2 linked regions of the Diceros bicornis minor genome follow. The protein of the gene in region 2 interacts with the protein of the main gene of each other region in a pairwise test. Links are inferred from orthologs where the notes say so. Each region holds a gene or a part of one and is shown on either strand. Other genes may lie near its edges.

Region 1 (9,931 bases), on a different chromosome or scaffold from region 2:
ACAACCCACACCCAGGCTAGAAGGCTAGCAGAGTTTGAGGGTCCTGGACCCAGAAGCGGATTCCAATCTCCAGCCTCAATCCTGTCGTTACATGCAAAGCAGTTGTCTCCGAATGGTTGGAACTGGCTCTGCCTGAGATGCAGCTCTCTCTGTGCTCATCTGAGTGCTGCCGATTCCTCGGCCCTCAAACTCCGCGCCCTGCACTAAGCACGCGTTTGCCGGGAGAAGTGCATCTGAGAAATGGAGCCTCTGCTGGGTGACTTGGAGGGACCAGCAGGGGCTGAGACCTCATTCTAGAGGCCAAGGGACCAGCTTAACACACAGAGAGCTAAAAATAAATGGATCATAAAAACCTCAGAATCCTTGGATTCCCTGAGCAGAAAGAGACAGCAAGAGGTCATTTGGTCCAAATTCCTGTTGTGTTCATCCATCCATCCATCCATTCACTCACCAACTCAGCATTTTCTGAGTGCCTACTGTATCTCAGACACTGTATTAAAAACCTTGCATGTCAAGTAGGCAAAGCTGCAGGTGAGAATCTTTCCAGTTTTTAGTCATTAGAAATGCCTAACTTCCCACTACCACTCTCAGCGGGTGACCCAAGGGAGCTCCAGAATTAATATATTAGACAAATCTGGAACTTGGTCATGGGATCGGAAGGCGTGAGGGTGCAAGGAGGCTTTCCTTGAAGCTAAAGCTGCATTTGCAGAGAAAGCAAAGTTTTTATCCAGCATTTACTGCGACCTGCCCTACCCTCCTTATCCCTGCTGTCCTCAATCCCCAATCCTGTTCTTTCATTTTTCCGCACCACTCATCACCTTCTATGTTCTGTACAATTTACTTATTTCTTATCTTTTTTGTTTATTTTCTGCTCCCCGCTACCCCGCAGAATATAAGTTCTATGACATCAGGGATCTTTGCCTTCCCCCACTGATACAGCCTTAGGGACTCAAGCAGCGCCTGGAATGTAATCAACATGAACTAGCTCTCCTTCAAGTGTTTGAACAAGTAGGTGATTCAAAGTGCTTGTGATAGAGATCATAAATCATTAGGTTTTCTCCGAATACTTTCATTCTCACCTTGCTGAAGACTGAGACTGTAGTTGTCCGTATCAAATTTTGGAAGTGAGAGTAACATACTTCTGAGCCACTCCTTGACATTGTTACAGAGCTAACCCCGGTATGGATAATTACATTTAAGATCAAGAAGTCCTTCCTTCTATCTAACTGGAGTTTTTCTTACTGTGAGGCATGGCAGCTCCCATAGAAGATCTCCTTTAGTGAAATGTCTGCCCTTTTGACAGCCTTAGGACATTTTAATAAGGAATTACCAAGGAGAGAAAAGGAAAAAAAAAATTGCCTTTATTCTTTTAAATAGCTGGCAAATTTGAGGGAAGGAAAAAGTTACAAATACTGTTGTATGAGTCAAATTAAAAGGAGCAGTCGCCTTCTGCCTAAGGAAGTATCATTTGAAGATGGCGTTGCTCACTGCTGGTTTTCTGACCCTCTCTGCTTCCTACAGGCTATGTACAACCATTCAGGGAAGGGTCCTTGCAGCTGAAAGGCAGGGGGTGACCCTTGAATGTGGTGCAATATATACACCCAAATGATACTGAGTGCCCAAGGATTGTGTGTAGAGAAAGAGAAGAGTGTTTTCTTTCCCCACTTCTCTCATTTATTGATGTAGAAGAATCCTTTGGGAGCTAGCAGCATCGATGTGGCTTTTGCTCAGTCTCTGTTGAGACAGAATTCAAATTCAGCATCCCCAGATGCTTCTTAAAAGGCTGGCAGAGGTTTGACATGGAGTGAGCAATGATTGTAGATATGGCATTACCATTTGATTTGGGGTCATCCGATGCTCTATTCCTGGTTAACGTGAACTGAGTTTACTAGCCCCTGTAAAATCTGTCCTACCCCATCGTTCATGCGGGTGCCGCATGATGGGGCGTGTGTTTGTCTCTGTGCATAATCGTGTTTGTATGCACTTGTGCAGGGGTGTTTGGACACCCCTAAACAACTAAAGGAAGTTGTCTCTGGACAACTTCGTTGTCCAGAGAATGCAGCCTGGTTCCGAGCAATTTTGAGATGCATTTAGAAGGATTGGATTCCATTGTTTCGCTTTGCAGACTTCCAATGCACCCCACCATGAAGACCTAAGTTTAACGGGAAGTCTGAGCCATTATTGTCAAATGGGTCTATAGGACTCCAATCACCACTGAGGGTTTTCAACTTTGGGGAGAAAACGGATCGGAAAACCAGTGTTGGCTGAGTGCAGCAGAGAGCAGTTATTGGCTCCTTACATAATGTATTTGTTTTTCATTAAACCATTCAGATAAGGTCTTATTAAAGAAGTGCCATGTATTATTTATCGTGTTTTATGAAAATGAGCTGAAGGGAAAATTCTGTCCTCTTCTTGGGGCATTTGCAGGCTTTTCCAATTCCAGCAAGAGAAAAATGAAGGAAAGCAGGATGAACCCCTGTCAGTACAGCAAGTTGCTTGAGGCAAAAGGAAAGGATGGGAAGAGAGAAAGGATGGAAAAGGCAGAATGGTTGACCTTTTATTCCACATATGTTTTGTGGAGTGGCTTTCTCATGTATTTTGGCAATTGCAAAATTAAAAAAATAAATAAATAAAAGACAGGCAGAAAGTAAGAAAACAAAGAAAACAGAGAAACAGTTTATTGGAAATCAGACCTTGTCTGATTTAATGTGATTTCTGAAACAACATAGAGCAAGGATTTTTCAGACTAACCACTGCCACCCCCTCACCAAAAAGGCAGCATCAGATACCAGCCCATGCTCCACTCATCTCCCATATCAACTTCTACTTAGGGCTAAGCATGCTACCGTGTCCCCTCTAAATTGATCAGATGTGTAAGTCCCAGGGCGTTGGAGGGGCTGGATTTGTCAGATGAGGAGAAAGAAACAGCCTGGTCAGGGCCTGGTGTTTGGCATAGACTTTATAGTTATCGATGGCATTTCAAAACAGAACAACAGAAAAAATGAAGCCGTGGAGTAATTAATTTCCTTTTCTTCAGAAAGCATTTTGATTAGCCTGCAAAGTGAGTTGTGCCTTGCGAGCTCATGGCTCAGTTCAGAAGCTGTCATTTGGCTGAGAGGGTCCTCGTGAGCCTCACTGAGGGGTCAGTGGGGATGCCCCTGGTGGCCAGTCCCCGAGAACCCTGCCTTAACTTCCCCTTCCTGAGGGTGCCCCCATCGCTCTCAGGGTGTGCTCCATCTGCAGGGCAGTGGCAGGCTCCCAGCTAGGTTCCTTGCAGGGAACCCAGCAATCAAAAAAGATGCTGTTCAGACAGCCTCTTGCTCTGAAAATAAAAAGAAAATCCAATCACTGGGTCAAAATCTATGTTATAAAATATGGCTACTATTCCTGATCATCATTTTACTGCTGCCAAGAATGTACTTTTATTTTCTGTGGGGACCAAGGACATGTTAGAGTCTTAATATTTTCTTTTGATTTGCAGATCACATCCCATTTTATTGCATAAAGACTAACGAAATCTACTAATGAATAATTATTACTTCATAAAATAAAGGGGAGCGGGGAGACCCCTCTGCAAGAACAGAATGCTAATTTGGCCAAGGAGGGCTGGCCAGGAAGGAGAAAAATAAAATAAACAAACTATTGTAATTTGCCCGCTGCAGCCCACAGAGTAATCTGTTATCAGACAAGGACTTCCCCATCCTGCGCATTTATAATTTGAGAAGAGCTGGGATTCTAGGCTGAGAGAAGCCCCCCTTGCATTCACGGGGGACTGGCGTGTTAGTTAGTCCAACAAGCTTGATTTGCACGCCAGCCAGGGCGGTTTCTCCCATTCAGCGGCTCAGGGGCTGGAAGGTGTGCTCGCGGCTGCCTGCCCAGCCAAGACGAGGCGCAGAGCGAAAGCTGCGCCCCACACGCCTGGGGGTGCATCGCCGGCCGGGCCGCCCTGCTGGGGGTGGGGGGACCCCCAGAAACCGCCCTGCCTCAGGCGCCTGCAGCCCCAGCCCCCCCTGCCCCCAGCCCCTAGCATCGTCTCAGCACTCTCACGAGGGGGAATCCCATTTCTGTGTTTATTTTCCAACGAGTCAGGCAAACAAACCGCCACCAAAATCTAAGACTCCGGGTCCCAGCTGGGCAATCGCAGTAATTGTCCAGCTCGCCTGGATGCTGGCGATGTGGGGCGCTCGCTTGCTTCCTCACCCGCCCCGCGGAGATTTTTAGCAGACACAATTTGAATTTTGGTGAGTCGTTTAAAAAAAAAATAAAAAAGGCAAAGGGGAGGGAAAAAAAAAAAAAAACAACCCTGCCCCTGGACCCATTTGACAAATGAGAAGGCACGCAGCATCAGCACCAGCCGAGTGAGCCTCAGTGTGAGTCAAAATCCCTCTCTCTCTCTCTCACTCTCTCTCTCTCTCTCTCTCTCTCTCCTCCTTTCTCCCCCTCCTTCTCTCTCTCGCCCTTAGCTTTATCCCCCCCCTCTACTCAGCATCTACAGGAGGGCATCCACCCCCTCTACCTTTCACAGAAGTTGCCTTTGCCGGTTCTTGTCATCTTCCCGGGGGCGTGGAGTGGGGGGCACCTTCCACTTTGAGGGGCATCAGAAAGTAGGCCCAATAAACCAGAGAAACGATAGCGCCACAAAGGAAACAAAATAGTTTCCTGGCCCTCTCAAGTGTCTTAGTTGGAGGCAGATGAACGCCTGGATCTAGCAAACCCTGAGGGAAGGAAAGCGAGGGAGGAGGGACGCGCGGGGTGCGGCAGCGGGGAGGGAGAGAGAGAAAGAGAGAGAGAGGAGAAAGACAGCCACCGGGTTTTGACTTAGATAATCAGCAAAATTAAAAAGAAAAAAAAAATTGTAGCGACCAGGCAAAGAGCGGCGTGATTGCATGCGAGCGTCCCCAGTCGTGCTTGGCGGGCGCCAGAGAGACACGATGCAGCATCCTCTGACGGGGGCCACCTGCGTGGCGCTCCCCAACGTGGGCATGTGTCCCCAGCTCTCGTGTGCCTTGACTTTTATGTACTTACAGCAGGTAAGGCGCGCGTCTTCCCTCGGTGGCTGCTTTCCGGGGCTCGGCGAACTCGGTACCCGCGTCGCTGGGTTGCGCTTTGGTACCTTGGAGGGGTTTGGGGAAGGGGCTCATGCTTTTGGACGGGAGGGGTGGGACCGAGCCCCTCGTTCTCTGTGGAGCCCAGACACCCCGCGCTGAGCTGTTTTTACACCTCAATGAATACTTTGAACGCCTGATTCTGAGCTTGGGTACAGGGAGTTTAAAATTGCAAACTGCATCTTCCTACCTCGCATTTTTCTCGTGACAGTGCGTCCGGTGGCGATCTGAGTCTAAGACCCTTTTGATGCTAAGAGTTATGCTAAGAGTTTGGATCTTTGTGGAGGCACTTGGGTGCCTGGAGTTTTAATTCAGCTGTTTTAATAGGGAGTGGAAAAACATATGTGTGTGTGTACGTGTGCTCCGTATTTTTGTTTTCTTAAGTTTGTCTGGGTTGTGCTATATTCAGTCCGCTTGGGATGGGAGCCTTTGGGTTTCTGGAGTGTCTCAGCCCCAGAATCTGCCTCCAAACTCACTGGTGTGCTGTGATGAAGGCGAGCAGTTTGGGATGCTGTCTTTGTTGGCATGTGTAAAGGCTTTTTTTTTCTCCTCTATTCCCTTTTAATGGTCTTGCCAGGGATTCTGTGTTTATATTCCCTTCTGTGTACATTTCAGAATCATTCATTATGTTTCTCTCTGTCTTTCTCTGGGTATTTCCCTTGGACCCTCTCTGTCTCTCTTTCCTTCTTTACTAGTAGGGCTGCAGGCTGAGTTGGTTCCTGGGCTTGGGAACCTTGTGGAGTGACAAGCCCAGCTCTGCCTCACTGGGCAGGGGCTGCGGATGTGACCGGCAGGGATAGGAGGGTTTTCTCATGCCGATGGGAATCCTTCTCCCTTCCTAGGATCAACCACCCTGCTGCATGAAGAGTTAACAGTGATTGTAGACATTTTATTTGTTTTTCGATGGACTCCCTTCCAGAGCACCATTTGTTAACTGTGTGTGGTTGGGGTTGACTAAACTTCCTCTACGAGTGTTCAGAGGGGCCTCCTTCTCCGAAGACCCTCAGTTTCAATCTGTGTTACAGGAATATATGTGTTCATAAAACGTCAATATTCTGTTTCCAACATTTGGGTAATTTGTTATCAAGTTGGTTGCCTCCAGAAAATCGCTCTTAGGTGTATTTTCTGTTGCAAGTCTTTTTGCCAACAGCCTTTTTTGTTGTTTTAATATCTTGGAAACAAATTGGTTTATCTTTTTAAATATTGTTTTATTCCATTTCTCATTAAGTAAATTGTGCCAGGAAACACTTCCCAAGAGCCTACTGGTAACATATTATATGATGCATCTGCTTCTAACATTTCTATGCCTTTTCTGTGAGTTCCCGTGTGTGTGTGTGTGTGTGTGTGTGTGAGTGTGTTTTACACCAGTTACCCACCAGAAGAGTGTCCTAATGAGCATTTCTACAGATGATAAGCCTCAGTTGGATTTAATCAAATTATTAATATTAGTTGATCATTTGCTCCCTGTATTCACTTCTTTCATGTTATTTATGAATCAGTTTGAACAGCAGTACCTAATAAATAGAATGCTATAGGTAGTCAGTGTTCTCACACTTTCTCTGTGCAATATTCTTTTTTTAATAGATCGATGTTTCCTCCTTCTAGATTGTTAAATTGGTTTGCTCATTTAGACACAACTCAGGAAAGAAGACAGGGACTCTGAGTGAGAGGTTATTCTTGCCATGAAAAGGACAAGTTTATAGGATCCATGCAGGAGTTCTCAGCATCTCCCAGGCAATCTTTTCCAGGAGGGAAAATACTCCTGCCATGGAAAGGGGAGGCTCAATGGGAATGTTAGCAGCCATGACAAATATTTAGAAATGACTAAATCAGAGTCATGGTTCTATATGAAGATAGATGGAGGTGGGTTTTTGAAATGTGCTTTGGAATGCACCCCGCTCTTGAAAGGGCTTGTCATGCTCTCAGTGGAAGTATTTGTAAGGTGATGCTGTGATAGTGTCAGAATGCGGTGTGTGTGCGTGTGCGTACGTGCATGTGTGTATTTTTCTGAGTTTCACTAAATGCCTGAAGCATAGTACAGGCAGACATTTATTTTTGTCTGTCTTATTCAGAATCAGGTTTTCTAGCCACACCTCCCATCCTTCCTAAAGGCTCACTCTCAGGGTGGGAGAGCCATACCTTCAGGTCTCTCCCAGCCATTGCTGTCATGATAGTTTGTGTAGAAGTCTCATGTCACTGCTTTTATTTAGCAGTCCAGATAATTGGCTGATTAATGGTGTGAAATAGTTCACTTCAATATCCACAAACCACTTACCGATACGATCTATACATCGTCTATACATATATTGCCACTATATTTTCTATCTGCTATTAATCTATAGCTATTATTGTATCTCTATTTAATTTTGATGATCAGAGGGCTAATATGTACTCTCAGAGTTAGTTGATCAAATGATGAATTAGGCAACATCTGTGATAAATGACACCTTCGTTGGAAACGTTTTATTATTATTTAGAAATAAACATAGTTCAGGAGTCTTTGTCATTCAGATCACCAATTATATAAGAAAATAATTAAAACACAACTCTCTTATTTTGGAGCTTTTATCATTCTGTTTTATAAATGCGCAAACTCTGTTTAGGGGCCAGCAAGTCTTCAGTGAAAGATATTTTCCTGGAACGAATTTTCATATGGCACTTATTTCTCATCTAGTATCTAAGGAAAATTACTTCATCGTTTGCTTTCTTTGCCTCATCCCTGACATCCGATCTTTCTTCCTAAACCTTCCCAGATTTGTTCCTAAGACAACTCATGAAAATAAAAATCAATTGGGATACCTCAGCGTCTGAGTCTTCTCTGAATGACCAAGTGAAAACTATGTAACCCTTTTGCCACAAAGAACTTACTTAATCAGGCCAAAGAAGAGGCGACGTCGGTGTTTAAATTATTAGACTTATTCCATTTCATTTATTTATATCTTCCAGTAACTCTGCTTTGGATAGGTATTTTGGTACAGTTAATTTCTTTTTCTTTCTCTCTGTCCTCTCTTTTAAAGTTGGAGATGTTACTACTATCTTGTGGTTGTAGACCATTCTCAGATGGAAGGGACAGGCAAGCCCTGGAACAACTGGCTTCAATTTTGCTGTCCACGGAAAGCCCCTGCTTCAGCCTCTGTTCTTGACACAATGCAGTGGCTTTATCCAGTGTCTTCTTCGATGGTGAATCTTCTTCTCCCAGATGAACTTCAACTCACATCTCCCCAATACAGAATCTGTCCAGAGTTCCAAAGTGGGTACCCATTTAAACATTCTGGCTTTGAGAGAAAATTCTGAATCCAAATTCCAAATTTGGGGGTTTGCTGTGGGCTAGTTCGAAAGAGAATGTGTTTTGTTTTCCACAGAGAGAGAAATAGAAAACCACACTCACATTCATAACACAAAAATGTAGATGCTTTATTCCCATCCTAAGTCACAGGAAGCCCACCAGAGAACATTCATTGCATGGTAAAGGATGGCAAGGCTTCGGCTAGAGCAGACAAGACTTGTTTTCTGAAGCACGCTGCATGTCAGGTTCCCCCAGAGCTGTTTCACGCTGAGTTCCACCTTCCTGAAAGAGGAGAAGTACCATATTAACTTAGTTTTCCCTGTTCCTAAACCACCATCAGTGTCTCCCAGTCCCGTTCTAAGAAAGCTTCTCATCTGTCAAATTGTATTCCCTCAGAACCTTTTTATCAAGCTAAATTTAAAAACAAGTCAAATGCTTAAAATCCACATTAAAAGAGGGGAGAAAAAAGGGGCTCTAAAATAGGCCATGCCACTGTCAATATCCGAAGATTGGTAATTTTTCCCACTTAATGATGATCCATGTGGTTTGTTTTAAATAGTGAAGTGGTTTGTACAAAGGGTAATTCCTGGTAAATGAAGCCATTGCTCACCGTGGACATCTTCAGATCGAAAGCAATTGAACTGAAACCTGCATAGCAACCCTTTCTGTCTTTAATTAGAAAGTGGTTCTTGTGTAGGGTGACCCGGAAGATGGGATCTCACATGAAGACTGTAGGAGGGGGCAGCGTCCCCATGCACCGGCTGCGATTATAAATTTGGGAAACGTGAGGTAGGCCATAGCAATTATGGCTGCGTAGAAAAGTTCAATTCTCATTCCAGTTACTTTCCTTGTGCTGCTCAGCCCGATGATTTATAGGGGCCCAATGGCATTTTATCACCTTTTTTCTTCTTGGCTTAATCCCATGTTGATTTATTAGATCGTGCTGTGGATTGGGGTAGTCAATTGTGTCAATAACGCAGAAAAGAATTAGGATAGATTATCTTCATGTCTGAATTGTTTAAGGAATTTAAGTGGCTGGAATGAGCACATTTCCAGGCCCGGGTGACTGTCTGATAAAACATAGGTCCCTCTGTTTCTTTCTACAGAGATCCTATGTCATAAATTGGTTTATTAACCAATCTTCCTAGTTTCTCTGCTTTTTCCAATTAAGGTGAGAAGACATGAATTGTGGGGCTCTTATTAGCCAGATAAGGCCCATATCTCAGGTGGGCTGGGGTTCACTCTGTGTTTCTCCCATTTCAGGAATCTTTGGGGATTTATTGACTGCGGGGTTACTTGGGTTGCCTCTGCTTTAAGATTATTTAATCCGACATTCATTTGTGAAAATTGTAAGCATCTGTTAGTCCTTAGACCCAGTTCTGCGCCATTCGGCAGGGCTGCCTGCCATTTCATAGCAGTTTCCGTGTCAAAACGTGCAACCGGCCGCTTCTGCCTTTGCCCGAGTGGAGAAAGCCCGTGTTATTAGTGCTCACACACCATCTGTTTTCCTTACAGCTGGCCCTTGAGTAATTGTCCAGTA
Region 2 (9,931 bases):
GCACCATGGAGAAATGAATGCCTACATATATAGTTAAGTGAAAAAAATCGTGGTGCGAAATAGTTTGTATCATATGCTATTGTTTGGTAAAAATGTAAAAAAATATATACAATTGTTTGCTTGCATATGTATAAAATGTCTTTGAAAGAATAAGAACCTCACTAGGTCGCTAGGGGCCAGGTATAAGATGGAAAGTTTTTATTGCATATAATTTTATCTCATTTTTTGGTAATTACTTTTTTAAATTATTCTTTGTAACTTTATTATAATAGATGATATATACAAAATAATATGTGTAATATATTTGTAAATTATAAACAGCAGTGGTATAATGAACACTTCTGAACCATCTATCAACTCAAGAGCAAGATAATTATTAATAAATTTTCTCTGGCTATGAGATCCTCCTCTGCCTCTCTTCACCTATCCCAGAGGTAAACACTATCCATCAAACCACATGTCTTTCTGTTTATATAGGTATGTGCTTCTTGTTTTTAATGATTGAAATTTTTTATCCTATTTCATTTTATCTCTCTATGGATTTAAATTTATGCATTTTGCTTATTCTATTTTTTACTCTCACTGTGCTTCTGCTATTTTAGTAGTAACTTCTGAATATTTATTACAATTATTTAACTTAATGTCTGAACTTTAAAAATATATTAACTTCTCTCTCAATTTAATTCTTATCTCCATCTTTTCTTGTTATATAATATTTTTGTTCATAATCTTTGAATCACCATTTTCTTCAACCCCACAACTCAGTCCTAATTATTATGTTTTTATACATACCATATTTGTTTTTTAGATTGACATACATGTTTATCATTTTAACTTGCTCTCCATTCCTTCTAGCTTTTCAGACTGTCCTTCTGGGATCATTTCCTTTTTCCTGAGGTGTAGCCTGTAGGGCAGTAATTTTCAATCTCCTCCGTGCATCAGAAACACCCTAAAGAGCTTTAAATTCACATATAAATGCCAGACCTCACCCCTAGAGCTTTAGGTTAATTTTGGCTGGGACGGGAACTAGGCATTGGTATTAAAAAAAGAAGAAAGACAAAAGGTCTCCTACTGATTCTAATGGGCATCCAGAGTTGATAACTACTGCTTTGTAAGTTCCATATTTATTACGTTGTTTTGTTTATTGCTTGTCTTCCTCACTAAAATGTAAGTTCCAAAGTGCAAGGATTTTTTTCATTCCTTTACTTATGCATGTCTCTCTACTGCCTTGAGCAGTGACAACCACACAGTAGTTGACCAACAAATGTTTGTTGAGTGAATGAAAGAAAGTGATAAGAATAGGATACATGGCAGAAGCAGAGAAGAGGAGCTGTTGTCTAGTTTTGGTTAAGGAGTGAAAGAAAGAGTCAGCATGGTTTCGTGAAAGAGATAAAATGTGAGCTGACCTTTGAAGGGTGAATATGAGTTAACAGAGTGTGAAAGCACAGAGATTTGAGATCCTGGCGCACTTTCCAAATTATAAGCAGTTGTGTGAGACTTGGACTTAGGGTAGAAGAGGCTGAGTGGTGAGAGATGAGGCGAGAGAGAGAGAGAGAGAGAGACAGAGAGAGAGACAGAGAGAGAGAGAGAGAGACAGAGTTAGACTACCAAGGCATTTGTATACCATGGTAAGGAGTTGGGATTTGGGGAGAAATATGGAGAGTCTGAACTAAGATAGTTATCTTGGTGACTGAGAGAAATGGATGAAATCTATCAATGTTGTTCATATATCACCCTTTTAGTGAGCCCTTCTGTAATGGCAGCCCCCTACCTCTCTCCCACACACATTGCTATCCTACTTACCTGCTTTATTTCTTCATAGCACTTGTCACTTTTTAGCATGTATTTTCCCAAAAATTTTGTTATCTGACACAAGAATGTAACTCCTGTGAGGGCAGAAATTTTTGTCCGTTTTCGTCACAGTTCTATCCTGAGAGCCCAGTGCATATTAACTGCTCAGTAAATATTTGTTGCATGAACTAACAAAAAATTTGAATGTAGAGAGAGTCAAGGAAAATACTCAAGTTTCAATGCCTCTGGATTTCTGATAATCCACTGGCTATTTTTTTTTCAGCTCAATTCCCAAATATAATTAATTCTTAATAGCACAAGCCCCTAACTTTCTGTATTTATTCATTGATTACCACAATATCCTCTAAACCAACGTCTCTGCCTCAGATTGCACCAGTACAACCCATTTTCTATATTTTGGTTTGAAATGTTACTGTATACTTTCTTCCTTAAAATTCTTCTTTGACTTTCTGTTTTCCTCATAATTAAGCTCAGACACTACAACATGGCATGCAAGATCCTTCTTTCTCTGGCTTCTTACATCCAGCTTCATCTCTCATCACTGCTCCTTTCACATGATACTTCAACTCCACTGCCATTATTTCCTTTCATTCATCCGTTCAACCATTTATTCAACATTGAACAAGTCTTTATTGAGCATCCTGTAGGACGTGAGGTCTATTTTAGGTTTTTAGTATTGACCAGTCAATGGGATAGTCATAGTTCCTACACTATCTCCTCTTTACTGATTATTATTGTCACATTATAGTGCTGCTAATTGTTTATGTGTTCATTTCCCTCACTGGTTGGAGGGTCTTGAAATCAGAAGTATGTTTTGTTCTTCTTTATATGGGAAGTATCAGGAACCGAACCTTATATTGAGTGGTTGTTCAAAATATGTTGGTTGAATGACAAAATATGAGTCAAAATGTTGAAATGAAGTATAAAAATACTAGCAAAAGTGAGGACCTTGTGCTGGCTCCCATCATTGCCCTGACCACATTTTGGTCATTTATTCATTGAACAAACATTGATAATCACCTGTTTTATGCTAGACTTTCATATGTTTAAATGTCACCTTTAGCCCCTAGTCTGTAGGCTCCTGGTGCAATGCTTCTCTATGTAGCATAGTGTTTGGGACACGGTAAGCACTCAGTACATACTTGTGGATTGAATGAAAATAATCACAAAAGAGGAGAACTGGGGTACAGATTTTGGACTCAAAAGAGCTTTCTGGAGTTAGTGGCAATGAGTAATTCAATATTGAACTTTTAACGAGAGTAAAGATTATTCTTATTATTGAAACTTTTTGTCAGTTGTCATTTTCTTCATTTTTGGGGGGAGTATATAAGTATACAAGAATGCTTTCTAAATGAATTCACCTTTATTTATTTGGAAATTTGAGTATGGCATGAAACTCTTTGGATATCATCCCAATACAAACATGATTCAGATTTAAGATTTTTTAAAAATCTTGAAATTGAAATATGCCACTAATAAAAATGAACTTTTTTTCAAAACTGTGTGTCAGAAAACAGTAAACCAGTATGGTAAATACGTAACTATAGACATCCAAAAGTTAAGGGACTAAGGGTAAAGGAGGTATTCCAAAGGCTGAATCAACAAGGTGAGGTGACAAATTGAATACGTGGAGTTTGGCAGAGATACTGCAGTTCCTGGGATGACTACAGCCGGGATTTGTAAACAGTTACTGATTCCCCCTCCCAGTCGTTTTACATCACTACCCAGGTTCTCATCCGCTGAGAGAGCCAATAAGTTCAAGTATTGCAAGAGCTTGCTAGAGAGGCACAGGAAGTTGCCTGGAGTGAAGTGTGGGCGGGTGGCGGCAGAAGCTTAAGCTTCTGCCAAACAAAAGAAAATAGCACTTCCGGTCCCGCCAACGTCGCGTTGCGGCTTTCTTCGTCAAGGTGAGTGTAAAGAAAGGGTCTGGTAATTCTTACAAGTGAATCCCCAAACGCTGTAGGGAAGCTTTCCTCTTTGCTTCAACACGGGATGGAAAGAAGAATTCATCTCCAGAGTCCATTGTATGAAGGGTGTTTCTGATCCTTGTGGTTCCGGTCGCCTCCCTATCTCCTCTCTCCTACTCCAGAGATGGCAGGCGGTCGTCCCCTCCCCCTTCTGACTCTTGTGGTCCTTTTTGTCAGTGGTCATTCTTCACCTCTCCTCATTATCCCCGATCCTCTTCACGATCTTTCTGAGCCTGGATCATTCCCTCTACCACAGATTTCTTTCTTACCTCTTACTCCTACCTTCCACTCCACCCCATTTTAGCCTCAGAACTTTTGCAAACCCCTTCCCCCACTCTGAGCCCACATTCTTCCTTCTGACCCCAGTATCTTACTCCTCCGAAGGCTTCGGATCTCTCCTGTCCCCCTCCTGCAGAGGCCAGTGAATTATATACTTTCCAAAATCGGGTATGACTTCAGTTTCAAGGCCAGGGCTGTTTTTGTTCTTTTTAGAAATAAGCAAAGAAGCAGAAATTTTAGAGCCCTAAGAGACATAGGGACTCGTTCAAATTATTATGTTCATTTACTTTATTTTTTTACTGTAAACAAAATTACACAGAAGATATTGCACTGGTTTCAGTCCTCTACTCATGACATTAAAAAAAAATTACTTAGAATTGAATCCTCACAGTTTTAGAGGGGCAAACATAGTGGGTTTTGCTTATAACCTGGTGTCAGCTTTAGAGGGTGGAAGCTTTGCCATTCCCTTTAGAACTTCTCATAGGGCAGAAATGGTTGACAGATATGACATCCAATCACAAATTTATTATTTCACTTGAGTTGGGTTTATTATGCAGATCCTTTTCTTGTCTCTGGCAGCGACATGGAATAGCAAGCTGGCAGATTTTTCAAACAGATTTTTCCTAGGAGCTTTGCAAGTATTACCTATTTGGTGCAATGTAAACTTTTGTCTTTTTTTTTTTCGTTTTTTGCAACGTAAAATGTATTTTTCTGTTCCATTTGTCATGTGTAATTTGTCTTATGAGAACATTAGTTTATAATCACAATTTATTATTTCAGTTCTTTACCCAAGTGAGGGGAGATGATCGTTAAATTTATAATGAAAGTCAGGATTTTTCAGGCTCTAAAGAGGAATTTAACAAAGGCTCTCCTTGAACAAGCAATTTATTCCCTCTTTCTCCTGTAACTAGTGTATTATGCTTGCCAAAATAAGAGGTGATTCTTTTTTCTAGGCCGAGTATAATTTTCAGTTCTTTTAGAATAAACAATGAGGCAGAGATATCATAACACCAAAACACTTAGGAACTTTTTCAAAGGGTATTGCTGATGTCTCTATTCTCTATTCAAACCGTAATTACACAGCGTTTAAACATCATCACACTGGCTTCAACCCACTGTACATCCATCCATCCATTTATTAAAGAATTTTTTATTGAATAACTTTTATGTGCCAGACAGTGTTCTAAGCACTGAGGATACAACAGTGGAAGATAAAAACACAGTCTTTTATAGTTGAGAGATAGACAATAAATGAATATATAATAAATATATAATAGGTGGTGATGGGGAGGGGCTGTACTATTTTAGAAAAGATGATCAAGAAGGCCTCCCTAGTAAGGTGACATTTGAGCAGAAACCTAAAGGAAGTGAGGGTACAAACTATACAGATATTAGTGGGAAAACAGGATATAATCTACGTCAGTGTCTCTGCATTTTTTGTTCACTCTGCTTTCTACACTTCCCCTCACCCCACCCTGCCCATGGTCACTTTTCTGCATAACATAAATGCAGCACTCTACATACTCAAATAATCTAATCTGTCCATATAAATTCCCCATATTCTCTTCCTGCCTAGCTTCTTGCTACCATTTAGGTGAATCGTCAGTTACCAGCCCCTATGGGAAGACATCTCTATCTCCATCCTCACCTCTTCCTCAGTCTGTTTATTTGTGGTGCATTGTGTGTTATTGGACACCATATTTCCTTACCTCTCTCACTGCTCTTATCACTGCGTGTTCATATGTTGCCCATAAATATTTGGTATGGTAAATTGAAATTAATTCAGTGCTTATCTGTAACAGACAAGCTTTTAAATATAGTTGTCCCCCTAATGTTAAAAACCACCCTCTAAGGTCAGTATTACCGTTGTCATTTTACTGATGATAAAACCAAGGCTCAGAAGTGGATAGTAACTTGCTAGATGGTGGTGGAGTTCATGGAGTTAAGGTCTGTCAGACACTCAGTCCTGGCCTGGTTCTCTCTTTCTCTCCATCTGCCTGTCTGTTTGTCTCTGTTTATTAATGAGAAATAGAAAATATACAGAATATTTTATTTTATTATTTTATAAGACATAATCTGGGTGTAGAAATTTCATTTTGTAAAGTTTCCTTTCACAAATCGGATTATATCAGGTGCTTGAATTAGTTCCTAGTTATAAATATTAAGAGCTGAGGGGCATGATGAGTCTTTTTATTTGAACGTTTTTTAATAAAAAGTTTAAACAAGTATAAATTTAAAGAAGAGTTACAATGAATACTTTTATACTCCGAACCTAGATTCAACAGTTGTTAACTTTTGCCGTATTAGCTCACTTGTTCACTCACTTGCTTGCTCTATCTATCCATCCATCCATCCATTTTTTTATTGAGATATAATTTTTTGTATATTTTTTTAATCTATATTTTGGCTGAACCATTTGAGATTGGCAGGCATTGTTTTTAAGTAAACTTAAAAACATGCAGAAAGATGCACATATCGTAAATGTACAGCTCAAAGCATTTTCACAGTGTAAACACACCTGTGTAAACCAGCATTGAGATTAAGAAATAGAACATGATCAACATCTGAAAGCCCTTGAATGTATTCCCTGCCAGTCACAACTAAACTCCAAATTAATCACAGTCCTGCTTCTATGACTGCTATCATTTTGCCTGTTTTTGGACTTTATAAAAATACAATAGTATAGTATGCATTTTTTGGGGTCTGACTTCTTTGGCTTAAGATTCTGTTTTGGAGATTCATCCATGTTATTAGGTGTTATAGTAAGTCCTTCATTCTCATTGCTATGTATTGCATTATGTGAATATATTATGATAGATGAGCATTTTGGTTGTTACCATTTTTGGCCTGTAAATAGTACTGTGAACATTCTAATACATGTCTTTTGGTGATATATGCACACATTTCTGTTGGGCATATACCTTAGAATTGCTGAATCATAGGTTATGTATATGACTAGCTTTAGTAGATACTGCCAACCAGTTTCCTAAAGTGGTTGTACTAAAAAACTCCCAACAGAAATTTTTAAGAGTTCCAGTTGCTCTAGAGTATTGCCAACACTTGTCATTGTCTTTTCTTTTTAAGAAAAAAAAGTAGCCATTCTAGTGGTTATGAATGGTATCTCATTGTGGTTTTAATTTGCATATCTCTGGTGATAAATGTGTATCTTTCCATATGTTTGTTGGCCTGGATATCTTTTTATGAGGTGCCTATTCAAGTCTTTTGACCACTTTTTCTTTTGAACTGTCTTTTTCTTATTGATTTGTAGGAGATCTTTCTATATTAAGAATGTGAATACTTTGTTAGATATATTTATTGCAAATCTCAGTTACTTGCATTTTTGATCTCTTAATAGTGTCTTTTGATGAACTGAAGATCTCAATTTTAATATTGTTCAATTCATAATTTTTCCCTTTCGTGGCTACTCCTCGTTTGTCCTGGTTAAGAAATATTTGCCTTTCTCAAGGTCATGAAGATATTTTTTATGTTGTGTCTTTGTTTAATCCCTCACTTATATTTACGGTTCCTTTGTAATTGATTTTTGTGTATGTTGCCAGTATGAGTTATGGGTATGGGTAAAGGGCCTTTTTTTTTTTTGGTCAAAATGGACATCTAGTCAACCTAATACAACTTAATTGTAAAGATCATTCTTTCTCTTCTATAGTGTCATCTTTTTCATAAATCAAATGATTAGGTTATATATGTGGTTTGTTTCTGGATGCTATTCAGTTTGGTTTATTTCTCTCTCCTTGTCTGAGCGCCACTGTCCTAATTAATGTAACTTTATAATATACCTTATATATGGTCATTAAGTCCTACAGTTTTGTTCTTTTTCTTCAATAATGCCTTGGTTATTCTTGGTCTTTTGATTTTCCGTATACATTTTAGAGTCACCTTGGAAATTACCATAAAAATTCTCCTTGGCGTTTTGATTGAGATACCACCTAATAGATCAATTTGAGGAGCACATATCATGGCACTTCACCCCTAAATATCTCAGCATTCATCTCCTAATATTAGGAACATTTTCTTAATAATTTAATTACCATTATCTTATGAATAAAAATTAACAGTAATTCCCTAATATCATCTAATACCTAATACATTTTCAAATTTCTTTTTTTCCCCAACAAGCCTTTTACAGCTGGTATTTAAAACCATCTTTCAACCTAGATTAAAGTATTTTTATATTTCTTGAGGATTTATTGTTGTCACTTTCTCTATTTTGTTAAACTTACAGATGTTTATATATTAAGTACTTTTCAATCCATTGTGGTCATTATTTCTTCTGTTGCTCAAACTGTTCAGTTTGGAAGGGGCCAGTTGGAGCCCCTTCACATTGGCTTCTGTCTTTTTTCTTTTATTACTGAAATTTTCAAATATATTTAAAGTAGAAAATAGTAAAATAAACATGCATGTATCCATTCCCTACCTTCCACAATTAATACCATTTTGCCAATTTTGTTTGATCTTTTCTCCTTACCCACTTTTTTCACTGGGGTATTTTAAAGCAATCCCAGACATCGTCATTACACAGGTAGATAACTCATTATGCATCCCTAACTCATAAGTGCATTATATGAAGTAACCACTAGGCCATTATACTTAGTAAGATTAACAATAATTCCTTATATCATCTAATACTCAGTCCATATTCAAATTTCCATGATTGTCTTAAAGATGTCTTTTTACAGTTGCTTTGTTAAATCCGTATCCAAACAAGGGCAGTTTATTGCCACTGTATATTTTTCTCTTAAGTTTCTTTTCCTATAAGACCTTCTATTACCGCCCCCCCCATTTTAAAGAGCATTGATTACAGAAACTAAGTCATTTGTCTTATTGACAAATGGATTTAGAGGACTGTTTCTTTGAGGTGGCATTTATTTTGTTTTCCCTTTCCCATGTTTCCTATTCACTGGCATTTAGAGCTAGAGGCTTGATTAGATTCAGTTTCAATTATTTTTTAAGGGAAAGAATCATTTCAGGCAGTGATATGCACTTTCTATTGCATTTCATCATGTTTGGTTTTATCTTTTTAATGATGCTGGGACTGATTTGTGTTTTCAGATGTTCTCAGCCTGATCCCTCCACTGTAGCATCTCCTACCAATCTTTCTCTTGTTGGTTTTAGCAGCCATTGAAGATAATTGTTTAAGTTCATTATTTCAATAGTCGTTGACAAATAGTGGTCTAATTCTATCACCTTCTGCGTTTATTAGCTGGAATTATTTTATAAAGAAGACCTTTTCCTTATCAGCTACCTTTTTGTCTTGAAGTACATTTCATAAAATGAAAGTCAGGAATTTTTAGGAATTAATGGCTTTTCATGTATTTTAGTGTATCCATTGTGATCCTTTTTTTCTTTTCTTTTTTTTTTTTGGTGCTCAAACTGTGTCATCTTAGAAATTAGGATCCCTTTCTATTTGGCTCCTATATTCTCTTCACATGATCTCGTTGGATCTTGGCTTCCTTGCTTTCTGACACAAGATATTTTAGGCTCCTCGTGTGCACTCCCTGCTCCAGCCCTGGAATCAGTCATTTTGCAAGCAGTCATGTATTGTTTTAGTAGGGATTGGTACTTAGAAACCAAGATGTGAGTGCTCAGGGGATTATTATTATTTTTTTAGTCATACTACCTGACCTTATGTTGTGTCCTTTTCCTCACTCTTTTCAATACGCTTGAATGACTCCCCAGCATTCCACTGAAAATTAGCTAAGCATGGCTTTCATTTGTTTATGTAGTCATTCATTCAGCAAAAATTTGTAGAATACTTAACTACCATGTATCTGGTCTTATGCTGTGTGCAGGAGATGTGAAGGTAAACCTGACTGGTTCCTGTTCTTGATGAAGATTCATGATAGTGGGGATATGAG

Evidence for each region.
Region 1: the proteins of MAGED1 (region 2) and RBFOX1 interact in a two-hybrid assay, tested with the Homo sapiens proteins (2 studies listed by BioGRID and IntAct). The link is inferred for Diceros bicornis minor from reciprocal best matches to the Homo sapiens genes MAGED1 and RBFOX1.

What each region holds. Positions count from the first base shown.
Region 1 is NC_080765.1:41,858,091-41,868,021, reverse strand, and holds the start of RBFOX1 (RNA binding protein fox-1 homolog 1), read left to right. Parts: upstream 1-4,931; coding exon 4,932-5,030; intron 5,031-9,931. UniProt on the Homo sapiens protein: RNA-binding protein that regulates alternative splicing events by binding to 5'-UGCAUGU-3' elements. Regulates alternative splicing of tissue-specific exons and of differentially spliced exons during erythropoiesis.
Region 2 is NC_080781.1:44,341,194-44,351,124, forward strand, and holds the start of MAGED1 (melanoma-associated antigen D1), read left to right. Parts: upstream 1-3,639; 5' UTR 3,640-3,719; intron 3,720-9,931. UniProt on the Homo sapiens protein: Involved in the apoptotic response after nerve growth factor (NGF) binding in neuronal cells. Inhibits cell cycle progression, and facilitates NGFR-mediated apoptosis. May act as a regulator of the function of DLX family members.